Linked DNA regions of Arabidopsis thaliana. The protein of the gene in region 1 purifies or fractionates together with the protein of each later gene. This does not show direct contact. Each region holds a gene or a part of one and is shown in the gene's direction. Other genes may lie near its edges.

The links.
Region 2: the proteins of CLUB (region 1) and SEC5A purify together in Arabidopsis thaliana (affinity purification with mass spectrometry, with the first as the bait; one study listed by BioGRID). This does not show direct contact.
Region 3: the proteins of CLUB (region 1) and AT3G05000 purify together in Arabidopsis thaliana (affinity purification with mass spectrometry, with the first as the bait; one study listed by BioGRID). This does not show direct contact.

The regions. Positions count from the first base shown.
Region 1 is NC_003076.8:22,097,652-22,101,406, forward strand, and holds the start of CLUB (CLUB), read left to right. Parts: upstream 1-2,112; 5' UTR 2,113-2,404; coding exon 2,405-2,468; intron 2,469-2,861; coding exon 2,862-3,091; intron 3,092-3,363; coding exon 3,364-3,545; intron 3,546-3,755. Other genes in the region: PHOS32 (Adenine nucleotide alpha hydrolases-like superfamily protein), read right to left, coding at 176-231, 1,322-2,042. UniProt on the Arabidopsis thaliana protein: Specific subunit of the TRAPP II complex, a highly conserved vesicle tethering complex that is required for the proper transport of proteins in post-Golgi trafficking pathways to the growing cell plate in mitotic active cells.
Region 2 is NC_003070.9:28,845,971-28,849,725, forward strand, and holds the start of SEC5A (exocyst complex component sec5), read left to right. Parts: upstream 1-1,900; 5' UTR 1,901-2,042; coding exon 2,043-2,468; exon of another isoform or gene 2,469-2,752; coding exon 2,753-2,907; intron 2,908-3,015; coding exon 3,016-3,101; intron 3,102-3,227; coding exon 3,228-3,422; intron 3,423-3,503; coding exon 3,504-3,631; intron 3,632-3,710; coding exon 3,711-3,755. Other genes in the region: AT1G76840 (uncharacterized protein), read right to left, coding at 596-792, 871-936, 1,051-1,318. UniProt on the Arabidopsis thaliana protein: Component of the exocyst complex involved in the docking of exocytic vesicles with fusion sites on the plasma membrane during regulated or polarized secretion. Involved in polarized cell growth and organ morphogenesis.
Region 3 is NC_003074.8:1,387,202-1,390,956, reverse strand, and holds the start of AT3G05000 (Transport protein particle (TRAPP) component), read left to right. Parts: upstream 1-2,125; 5' UTR 2,126-2,259; coding exon 2,260-2,411; intron 2,412-2,884; coding exon 2,885-3,002; intron 3,003-3,084; coding exon 3,085-3,307; intron 3,308-3,484; coding exon 3,485-3,513; 3' UTR 3,514-3,755. Other genes in the region: Cand2 (Protein of unknown function, transmembrane-40), read right to left, coding at 7-109, 215-377, 572-763, 1,070-1,354.

The DNA.
Region 1 (3,755 bases):
TTTATTCACAACACACATTTCACTGTTCGAAGATACACAGAGAGGGATCACTTAAAATATCATGCAGATTATACATTGCTAGTCGTGATGCAGTATGGTGGAGATAACAAATGTAACCTATAGATAATAGCCTTTTTACCTTATCAGTGTACATTCAGATCTTTTTACAAATTCACTAGGTAGCTCCGATCTTGTAACGTATACCAAATGCTCCAGAACTAACACCAGTGACTATCTTACAGAAGAAGCAATCTACGAAACTCAGTAACTTTATTTGACAAGTTTTCATCTGAACTTGTCATAAAAGTAAGAAGGTAGTGCCTACATCTCAGTTAGATTTGATATCTAAACATTACCCAAGAGTATAGATAAAAAAAATTTTGGCATGTTAACCAGATTCTTCCTACATATTCCCATTCTTTCCTAAATTTTCCTCTGTTAACATTGTAACCTTTCCTAGTCTGGACCAAAGCAAACAACAACAAAAAGTATAATTGAAGCTTCCTTTTTAGAACTACTGCACTATTTGATTTTCAATGTTTCATACAACAACAAGTATACAGTCACCAACTTACGAAATGAGGGGTTATAGAAGACATAATTTCTTATCTGCCTTTTCCCAAGTCAAGAATCATAATACTTGGATGCTAATGATACTTAATGTTGCCTCAAACTAAACCGAACAGAGGAAAAATAAATCAAACAAACTCACTTAGAAAAGTTTATCTTCAAGGGTCAAAAGAAACTTTCCTCTGGACTAGAGTACTTTTAATCTAAAGTCTAAACGCAATCAATGGGTAGTGTAAACAATGCAAGAAATAGAACGATGTCGGCGCTTCTTTGTCCCATGTGTAGGGGAACAATAATCTTCTAACATATATTACAGCAAATTAGCCATAACCACCAAAAATTATGATATATACTATACAACTAACTTCAGTAAATAGAAACAGTTTCGGCAGATGAAGAAGATATATACAAATTCATAGAACGAATACACTAAAGCTAGGAAATCATCTATGTACATGACCATCATCCTCAATTTTCGGGTAAGCAAGGCAATGAACATGGACAGCATTTCTCACTAAATCGACAAAATCATCTTAGTTCAGCTATAAAAGGATCTCATTTTCCTGTGCTACCATCTATGGCAATCTTTTTCACAACATATTCACGTGATCACAAAATTCACAACACTCACTACACTACTGAATCTAAATCTGACACATCAACAGAAACATCCATGAAAAAAATAACAACGAAAGCAGCTTATCTAATCAATCACTGAATCACATAGAGATAGAGATAATTGATCCCTGACCTTTGATGTGTTCATGATGAGCAGAAGCAGAAGCAGCAACAACATCTCCATCATCATCTCCACCAGACTTGACAGTAACAATAGGCACAGGTCCATCACGATCATCAGGATATCTAACCACAACAACAGGACAAACACAGTGATGAACACAGTAATCACTAACAGAGCCAAGCTTGCCATCACTTCCTCTTTTTTTCTCAGCACCAAAACCTCTACTTCCCATAATCACAGCACTAAGACCAAGCCTCTCAATCTCAAGACATAATCTCTCTCTCATATCATGATCTTTCACTATATGGATCTTATAAGGAAACCCTAACTCCTTCAACGGTTTAGCTAGATCCGCAACTTTTGTTGAAGTAAAAGCATCAAAATCCTCTTGACTAGGTTGAGGTTGAGCGTTTGGATCTTCAATTTGAGTTTTCAGAGGGAGAGGTCCCCAATCGGCACCGAAGAGGACGGAGGTTGGAGAAACGTGGAGAAGAACAACGGCGTCTCCGGGACGGATGTAGTGATCTACAGCCCAACGAACGGCGAAAGAGCTTTCTTCGGAGAGATCAACTGCGACTCCGATTTTACGACGAGCTCCGGCGGTTGGTGTTGGAGTTGCGGCGGAGGAGGGAGTAGATGAGGAGTGGTGATGGTGAGAGTGACGTGGAGATGGAGGGTGATGGATCTTGATGTTTGGAAGCTGTGGATGATCGGAATCTGCTGGATTCATGATTTTTTTCAGATGTTGTTTTTGTTCGTCGGAAAGTGGGAGTGAGGGAGGTTTCTCTTAACGGAGAAGAAAGAAGCGTTGTTTTTGTTTTTTTAATAGAACATTAGACTGCATGCCGTTATTTATATACAAAGACGACAAGCATTCTAATATAGATGTAGTTAATAGAAGGAGTGATCCAACGGTCAGGATCAAATCTGAGCGCCATAGTTTTGAAGAAGACGATTCACTAGATCTCCGGCGTCGGTGATTTCCTCCACTTCCTTTTCTGGCAGCTAGAAGACGAAACCTCACTCAAATTCTGATCTCTTTGTATAATTCGATCGAGTTATTCGTATGATTCGTATAGATCGGTGACTCAGATGGCGAACTACTTGGCTCAGTTCCAGACGATTAAGAATTCCTGCGATCGTCTCGTCGCCGCCGGTGAATTTCTCCCCAATTTTTTTCAAATGTGTACATTTCTAGGGGTTTTGTTTCTCTACGATTGCTGCATTCGATTAGGATCTTATTTCTCCTTTTTTTTTTCTGCCACATTTTGCGATGTCATAGCTATATATTAGTGGAAAGTTTCTCAATGTAGGTGAAGGATCAAATCAGATGATATGAATCTGTTAGGTTGTTGGTTGGTCAGGTTATACTCATGAATGAAGCTAAAAGTGCTTAGAAATGAGCATCCATTCCTGAAGGGAACTGATCATGATGATTTCTTTTGTTTCTGATCTTAAACTCTACTTGTTCGTTAGTATTAAGATGTCTTCTCTTTATATTGTTCCCGTTGCTCGTTGTAATAGTGGTTGCTTGCATATTCTTTTACAGTGGAAGATGTGTGTGATCTGTGGCCTACAGTGAAAGGTTTATTTGAAGAACATCAGCCATTAAAAAGAGCATTCTTGACTAACAAGACTCGAAATCCGGTTTTTGTTGAGAACTTGCCGGTTGAATTCATATTAACTACAGACGCGAGGCTTCGTAGTCGATTCCCGCAGGAGCAGTATTTGTTCTGGTTTCGAGAACCATACGCAACTATAGTTCTTGTCACATGTGAGGTACTTGCTTGTTGATATGATGATATGTGTTTTTTTTTTCTGTATCAATCTTGGCAGTGGAGAGTAGTCACGTGCCAAAATATGAAACAAAGATGATGTGCTTGATGATATTCGTTTCTGTTTTCCTTTTCTATAAGAGATAAGAACCTATGTTTAGATAGTAGGTACCGTTTCTAATGTATATGGTTTCTGGATTAGGTTAGATTTATCACTTATGTGGTTCGACAATTTTTGTTCTTCTAGCTTTTCTGAGTATACCTTTGACCTTGCAGGATCTTGATGAGTTTAAAAACATTCTCAAACCACGTCTGAAATTAATTGTTCAGAATGATGAGAGGGAATGGTTTATTGTATTTGTATCTAAAGCTCATCCAAGTAATGATCAAGCAACTAAAAATGTCAAGAAAGTATATGCGAAGCTTGAAGTTGACTTCAGTTCAAAAAAGAGAGAAAGGTAAGCTATGCAGATTGGACTGTGTTTATGTTTTTTTGCTCTGATACAAGCAGGCACGAACCGAAAAAATACCATGCCAGATTCCTAATGAGACTTGATTGCTCCTACTATAGTTCTAACATAAATAGATTAGGTTAAACAGTTTGCACGATTGCAATCACTCATATTTTTGCTAGATGCATAAACTAAACCCATTTAGCAGTAATCACT
Region 2 (3,755 bases), on another chromosome or scaffold:
TCTATATAATTTAGTTAAACTTTATTTATGCTATATAATAATGTTTTCATTCTGGTATTAGTTGGATTGGTGGTAAATGATTGTTCAGCTCTTTGTAGTTTGTGCGAAATGATCGTTCGTCTTTCACTCAGATGGAACTTTCATTAGAGAGCCTTTTGATGAAACAAAAGTTTTATTAAGTTTTATAGGTCAGCCTCAGTACTCAACCCAAAAAGTTGTAAAATCTATTAAGATAACAGAGGAGGAACTAAGTCAAATCTTTTGGCACAAAAGAGTACTATTTACACACTTGTATAGACATATTACTCTTCTGTTTTACAACTAGCAGTAATTCGACCAAAAGACTGAACAAATGTTTCAATTCCAATAAAGGACTCATCTACGACTAATACCATGCAACATACATATTTCCTTAATCACATCCATCATAATAGTGTCTTGCTCATGTTTCTCTTCATGTTATCCTTCCAAAGGTTCAGAATCCACCTCTTGATGAGTGTTACTTACCGGTGAAATATGACCTGAAACTTTTAGTGTAAAAAACCATAACATGTTTTGTAGCTTTGGTTTCAGATGTATGAGTAAGTCCTCCTCCTCAGCCATTCCTTGTGGCTTTTCTTTTACGAATTCTTGATTCACTGTCTTCATTTATTCGGAAGAGCCTCTTGACTTTAGTGCCGACTGCTTCTTCTAGCTCCAACTGAGTGTACTCATCCATAAGTTTTTCTGGTGTTAGATTCAGACAATGACCAACACTCGCACAACCGACTTTAGTTATCTCCATTCTTTCTTCTGCACTGTTGTTCTAAGTGTTGTGTTCAAAAAAGTTTCCATGTAAAGTTGCTGCTTGTACTTCCTTCTCTAAGGAACCTTTCACATCATCATCTTTGTTTGAGTGAATCTCCTTCCAACATTCAACTGAGTTTTCCAAGATTGCTGTGATTAAAATCAGAAAGAAACACGGATTAGAACAAAATTAGTTTAGCCATAAAACTGAAAAAGTAACTCAAATCAAATGAATACAAGTATATACCTTCTATAGAGCTACACTCTCAGATCTAGGAGTGCAAATAAGAGTTTCTCTCTTAGTTTTGGTAGTTTTCTCAGCAATAGATATTGAAACGATATTCTTAACAAGGTAACGGCCAGTAGACACGACTAGCTCAGCTTCAGTGCTGCTCACTGGTACTTGCACTGAAGCAGGTGATAAGCGCTTGACAAAAAGTACAGAGTGTGATGATACTTCCTCTTTGTCCTCCTTAACTGCAGATATTAAAACTGTGTCTCGCTCAATTTTCTCTTCACGTTGTCCTTCCATAAGTTCAGAATTCAACTCTTTAGTGCTTATTATTTGAGAAACTATCAACTGGTTTTTCCAGTGTAGAATCCAGAACATTCTCATAATCATAACAGATCCTGCACCTTTGGTTTCTGAGGAAATAAGGTGAATCATCAATCATTCCTTATGGCTTATCCTTAATGCACTCTTGATTCATTTTCTTCAACTACTATTGGAGCCTCAAATGAATTATGTCTCGAAGAGTTCCTTGTCAATCTAACATTTAGCTTCTTGAATCTTGACATTTTCAACAGAGGCTCCATTTCGTTCACAGTCAATACTGGAACAACTTTTCTGTGAATTACTCATTGCTTCCAGTATTCAAAATGTATATCTCAGAGAAGGACAAATCACGTCGCAACGTAATAATTTTTTGCAAATAATCTAAATTAATCTAAGAGTCATTTTTGAGGATAAAATCGAGTTACTGACATCTTGTGTGTCTGTCCTTCATACCAAATTATCCGGTCAAAAAGCCACCACACCGGAAAATATTATTTTCTTATCATCGCCATGTTTTGATTTTTCCACGTTTACACCTTTTAATCTAAAAATCAATATTTCTGGAAGAAAAAAAAAAACAAATTAAAATTGTCACACAAATCACAAACTGAAATCTCAAAATCGAAACTAAAGCTTCTCAGATCTCTAACTATAGCTCAAGGCGGAGGAGACTGAGATCGATCATCTGAATCGCCGAAACATGTCGAGCGATAGCAATGATCTTGACGAAGATGAGCTTCTTCAAATGGCGTTGAAAGAGCAGGCTAAGAGAGATCTCACCTATCAGAAACCTCCTTCATCTTCTGCTCGTAAGCCTGTTGCCAATTTAGTGCAGCAGCCTCGACAGCAGAAGCCTGTGGCTGCGGCTGCCGCTCCGCCGAAGAAGTCTGCTGCGGCGGTTAGGAAGCCTTCCATGGATGAGGATGAGGAGTCGGAGGTGGAATTGCTTAGCATTTCGAGCGGGGATGATGATTTGGAGAGGGAAAGGGAAATAGGTGGTTCTAGTGGTGGTGCGGGGAGAGGAAGAGGTAGCGATGTACGAGAGAAGGGAAGAGCGAGGAAGGAAGATGATGGTGCTTGGGATGGAGGAGAGCCTGATTGTTGGAAACGGGTTAATGAAGCTGAGGTATGTATTTGTGGCGAGATTCATCAGTGAATGCTTATGGCTTTGCTTGTTCGATCAAGTTCAAGAGTTTGAATTCGATATATTGATCTATTTGTTGAATTGTACGACACTGAACAATACCATTCGTGGGATACGGTGAATGCTATCCATAGTTTCTGGTGTTGAGTTGATATAGAGAGCTTGATAATTAGCATGCCATTAGTGATTTTAGAACCATAGCATCATATGGATGTATAAGTGGAAAGATGACCATTTTCACTGAAATTCCGGTGGCATTTTGGCAGCTTGCTCGTAGGGTTCGTGATATGAGGGAATCGAGAACAGCACCCGTGGTTCAGAAAGTAGAAGGTAAAGCACCTGCACCTGGGAAGAAAGTGGCTCTGACTAGTTTGCAGTCACTTCCTCGTGGAATGGAATGTATTGATCCACTAAAATTAGGGTAATTGCTCTCGTTTCGTTTTGCTTACCATGGAAGCCAGTCAGATGCTTTGTACTCTGTCTTTGATATGGTAGAACATATCTAAACCTGAATTTGTCTACTTCATAGGATCATAGACAATAAGACATTGAGATTAATCACTGAGTCGTCAGGCAGCCCATCAAAAGCTGAGAAAGTGGATAATACTCTTCGCGGTATGTCTTTCTTTACCATATCTACAACTCGAGTGAACAGTAGCACTTACAATTTTTTGGAGGGCTAATTCGATGTACAATTTCCAGTTGTCTAATTGTTATGTATCTTTTTCTGAGTATTTGCAGAAAAATTGGTTTACTTCTCTGATCATTTCGATCCGAAGCTGTTTCTTTCCCGTATTCACCAAGACACGACTGCAGCAGATTTGGAGGCTGGTGCCCTTGGCTTGAAAAGTGACTTAAAGGGTCGGAATCTGCAAAGGAAACAATTGGTGAAGGACAATTTTGACTGCTTCGTCTCATGTAAAACAACAATTGATGGTATGTATTATTACTTCCAACTGAATAATTTATGTTTTTTTCTTCTTTCATTTTCATGTTGACCACTGATTTTCTTAATAGATATTGAGTCAAAACTGAAGCGGATTGAAGAAGACCCCGAAGGTTCAGGAACTACTCATTTGTTTAATTGTATGAAAAGTGTGACATCGAGGGCCAATCTTGCATTTGAGCCACTTTTTGAGAGACAGGTTGGTGTGATTCTGATTTACTTCTTTTGCTTGTCACTCTCTTTCATTTTGCTGAAGCCTTTTTCAAAATCACATTTAGGCTCAAGCTGAGAAAATCAGGTCTGTCCAAGGAATGCTTCAGAGA
Region 3 (3,755 bases), on another chromosome or scaffold:
GCTTACCATAATCCAAAATGAGCACCGTTTGCCGTAAGAGCACATGCAAATAGGGAGAGCCCATTTAAGGCGAGCATGACAGTTATATACTTGTAGAATGCAGGTCTTGCTGTCAAACCGGAAAATAAAAACATATGGGATGAGTAATAGAAGCCAGTGAACAGCTATTGGCTTATGCAACCATAAGGAGGATATGAGTGGTCGATGTATTCACCTGGTAATCTCTCTCTCCATTTGGAGTTGTACATGAAGAATATCATCCCATAAATGCCAGCTAGTAAGAGCTTGTGGATGACCCATAAGCCCCATTTGAACTTATGTATATGTTCATTGTTGTCGATAAACAATGGTACTCCAAAGCCAAACAGATAAATTGCCTGAAAGGAAGAATGAAAACCGTGAAGAAATTAAACTGACTGTAGTTGAGTAACCAGACAATACAAGTTTGCATATATCAACTGTAGTGGACACATGATCTAATGCAGAACTAAGATCATGTCAATATACCTCAAGGAAGTATATCTATCTATATATCAGAAAGTGTATCTAACAGTTATGAACACAAATCTACCTTGAGAAGCAAATCGAGACCAATGACAAGCCCCGAGATGAGGAAAGTTCGTGTTAATGCTTCAGCACCGCTTGCATAGTTTCCTTGGAAGAGAAAGGCTACCAAGCTTACTTCCAGAAACAACATTCCAGATGTTGTGAACAAAGTTAACAAATTCCAAATAACTTCTTTCCCCGGAGTGCATTCCCATGCCTAAACTCATGAAAAGTAAATTCAAAACGAAATCTGGAGTAAGACTAAATCAGGTAAAACATTTCCTGTTAAGCAGCATCTAACCAAGAAATCAACACTAATAGCTTACACAAAATACAAAAGCTTTCTAATCACCAGTGTAGAATAAAAACAATGTTGATAAGATCGCAAAGTTTCTACATTTACAGAGCCTAAAACACTCTAAAAAGCATTCTTCTTCAATCTAAGTTCTGATCTCTTTACACGCAACATAGGTATGAGTTACTTGTGAAATGAATCGAAGTAAAGAAGAGAACTTTAACAAACCTGAAGGCAACACCAAGCAAGATTGAGCAAGCTAACAAGCCAAAGAAAACCATAATAGGCAATCATAATGTAAGATCTCCGATTAGACAACTTGGACAAGCTCTTCTTCGCCTCGTACGCTAAGTAAGCGACGAATAGAATAGATGCTAAAACCAAAACCGTGTTATGAAGAAACCCATGACACTTCCCGACCCATCCGCCGATAAACCCTCCGGTGGCCGTCGAATCAGGGCTTAGCCGAGAAATCACGAACGGTGACTCCGCAATCTCGCTGAGCACTCGCATTTCATCAAATTGTACGAATCAGAAACCAAGTAGACTTAGCGCAAGGAGCGGAAAGCAATCCCTAGTTCCAGAAAAGGAGCTCAATTTCGAGATTTGATGTTTTTGCGATACAGAATTCGTATGAATCGTATATTTCTTCTTCTCTCTGGCGACCAAATCCATACACTTGACGCAAACATGAGTAATTACACAAAAGTTAAAGGGTATTATAGGTAATTATCATCGCTTCTCCCACTTCCACTCTAAAACAAAAAAAAAAAACTATCATTTTTCTCATCCTTTTTATTTTTAACTGATTTTACATGTGATGTTTAAAGAGTTAATTATTGGACATGTGATGTTTAAAGAATTTAAATATTATTCTTTTCAATTCTGTATCTTAAATTTGAAAGACTTATTACAAGCTGATCTAATTTCAAAATCAATCTTATGAAATGTAAATTTTTGAAGTGCTATTTAATAATCAATAATGTGTTATTCTTTTTAATTAAATTAGAAAACGTGGGAGACAATTGTCTCTCTTTTGCCCACCAAAAAGATATTAAAAAAGTCCTATTCAATAATCATGATTTATTTATTTATATTTATATCTCATATTATACAAGTAAAATTGATTTTTAACCATAAATGATCAGCATTCAGCACACCAAAAGTAATTTCCATTCACTTGAAATAATTGTATAAATCGGGTATTTGAAGGAAAATTGAACCAAGACGATCCGGTTTAAATGTCAGAGATTAAGGTTATCATGACTCTTTAAAAAATGAAGTCACAGATCAGAAATAATAGAAAACTATTAAGGACTTAAATGTAAATACTCTACAAGTTAATAGATCGGAGCTTCGTTGCATAAGCCCCAAACCGGTGGAGAGAAGACGGAAAGAGTCTGAGAGAGAGAGAAGAAATGGGGAGAGAAGTGGCGGAGAGCTGTGTAGACACTATGTTAATGGAGATGGTGGCGATGTACAGTGGCCGATTCTATGCTAACAAGCCGGAACTCGCCGCTCGGAGGATCGAGGCCATTGGTTATCAGGTCGGCCACCAGCTCTCCGAGAGGTTTGTTTTACACTTGATCATCGTCTTCTTTCGATCTGGTTGATCATTGTATCTCTAGGTTGCTAGTATTAGTTGTAGATCTGAAGATGATGGCGAATGTATATCGTTAGCAATGATTCTCTTTGATATTGGATTTATCGTTTCTCGTGTGTAATTGGCTGAGAATGTGATAGATGGGAAGATATATGGCGCTGATTCGAGTTTTTTTCTCATTGCTCTAGTGGCTAATTTTTGTATTTAATCGTGCAATGTTTTGGTTAGGAAATTTTCTTGTTGTCTCAGAAGAATGATTCTCTTAGTCCCTGATTAGTTATAGTGTGTGTGTACGAAGAATGATTTTAGTCTGTTGAGGCATGTTTTGTTGCTTCTGAAGGTGTTTGCCTACATAAAAACTGTTTTACAGTGTTGTATGATGGCAGATATTTAGCATTTTACTTGATTGTGCATAACTTCAGCCTTTTTTATGTCGTTAGGTACACTATGGAAAGACCAAGGTTCAGTGACCATCTAGAGGCAATCAAGTTTATCTGCAAAGACTTCTGGTCTGAGGTCTTCAAGAAGCAGATTGATAATTTAAAGACAAATCACCGGGTAAGATAACTGGGATTTTACCTGAACAAAGACCAAAACTCTTCTTGTGTGTGTTATTCACAGATGGAATGTTTCTCTTCAGGGTACTTTTGTATTACAAGACAACAAGTTCCGGTGGTTGTCTCGTGTCTCAATTGACCCTTCATCTGAGAATGAAACCCAAGATCCTTCTACTCCAGGGGAAAGCAAAGCTGCACAAGCGGTGAGCATGTACCTCTATTTCCCGTGTGGAATCATTAGAGGTGTCCTCTCCAACTTGGGGATACCTTGTGCTGTCTCTGCAGATATATCAAGCCTTCCCACATGTGAGTTCACAGCTTGCTTTGCTTGTTTTCGAAATTCTTATATTCTTTCACTTTCTTCTATATTCTCAAAATCACACATTGGAGGGAAGAAAGATAGAAAATTATTTCAAATATTGCTTATTACCTGTCATTATAAGTTGCTTCAGTTCGGTAACTATCCTTGTCATGTCCTCACAGGCTCTTTCGTGATTCGGGTCAAGGCTTGATTCTGCATTTAGCTCGAGTACTTGGCTTTATACTTTCAAGGAAGATAGATCCTTCGGGTCTGATCAATCTAAAACCCATTGCAGGCTTCTGTTTGCTGTTCTTTTGACACACTTTAGCCTTGTGGTGCTTGTTTTAAACAGTGAGGGCTTGGTTTCATGTTTGAAATGACTTTTATTTTTCTGTTGTAAATTTTTGTTGATATCTTATATACAGTAATTCCTGATGCATCTCCATTTCATAT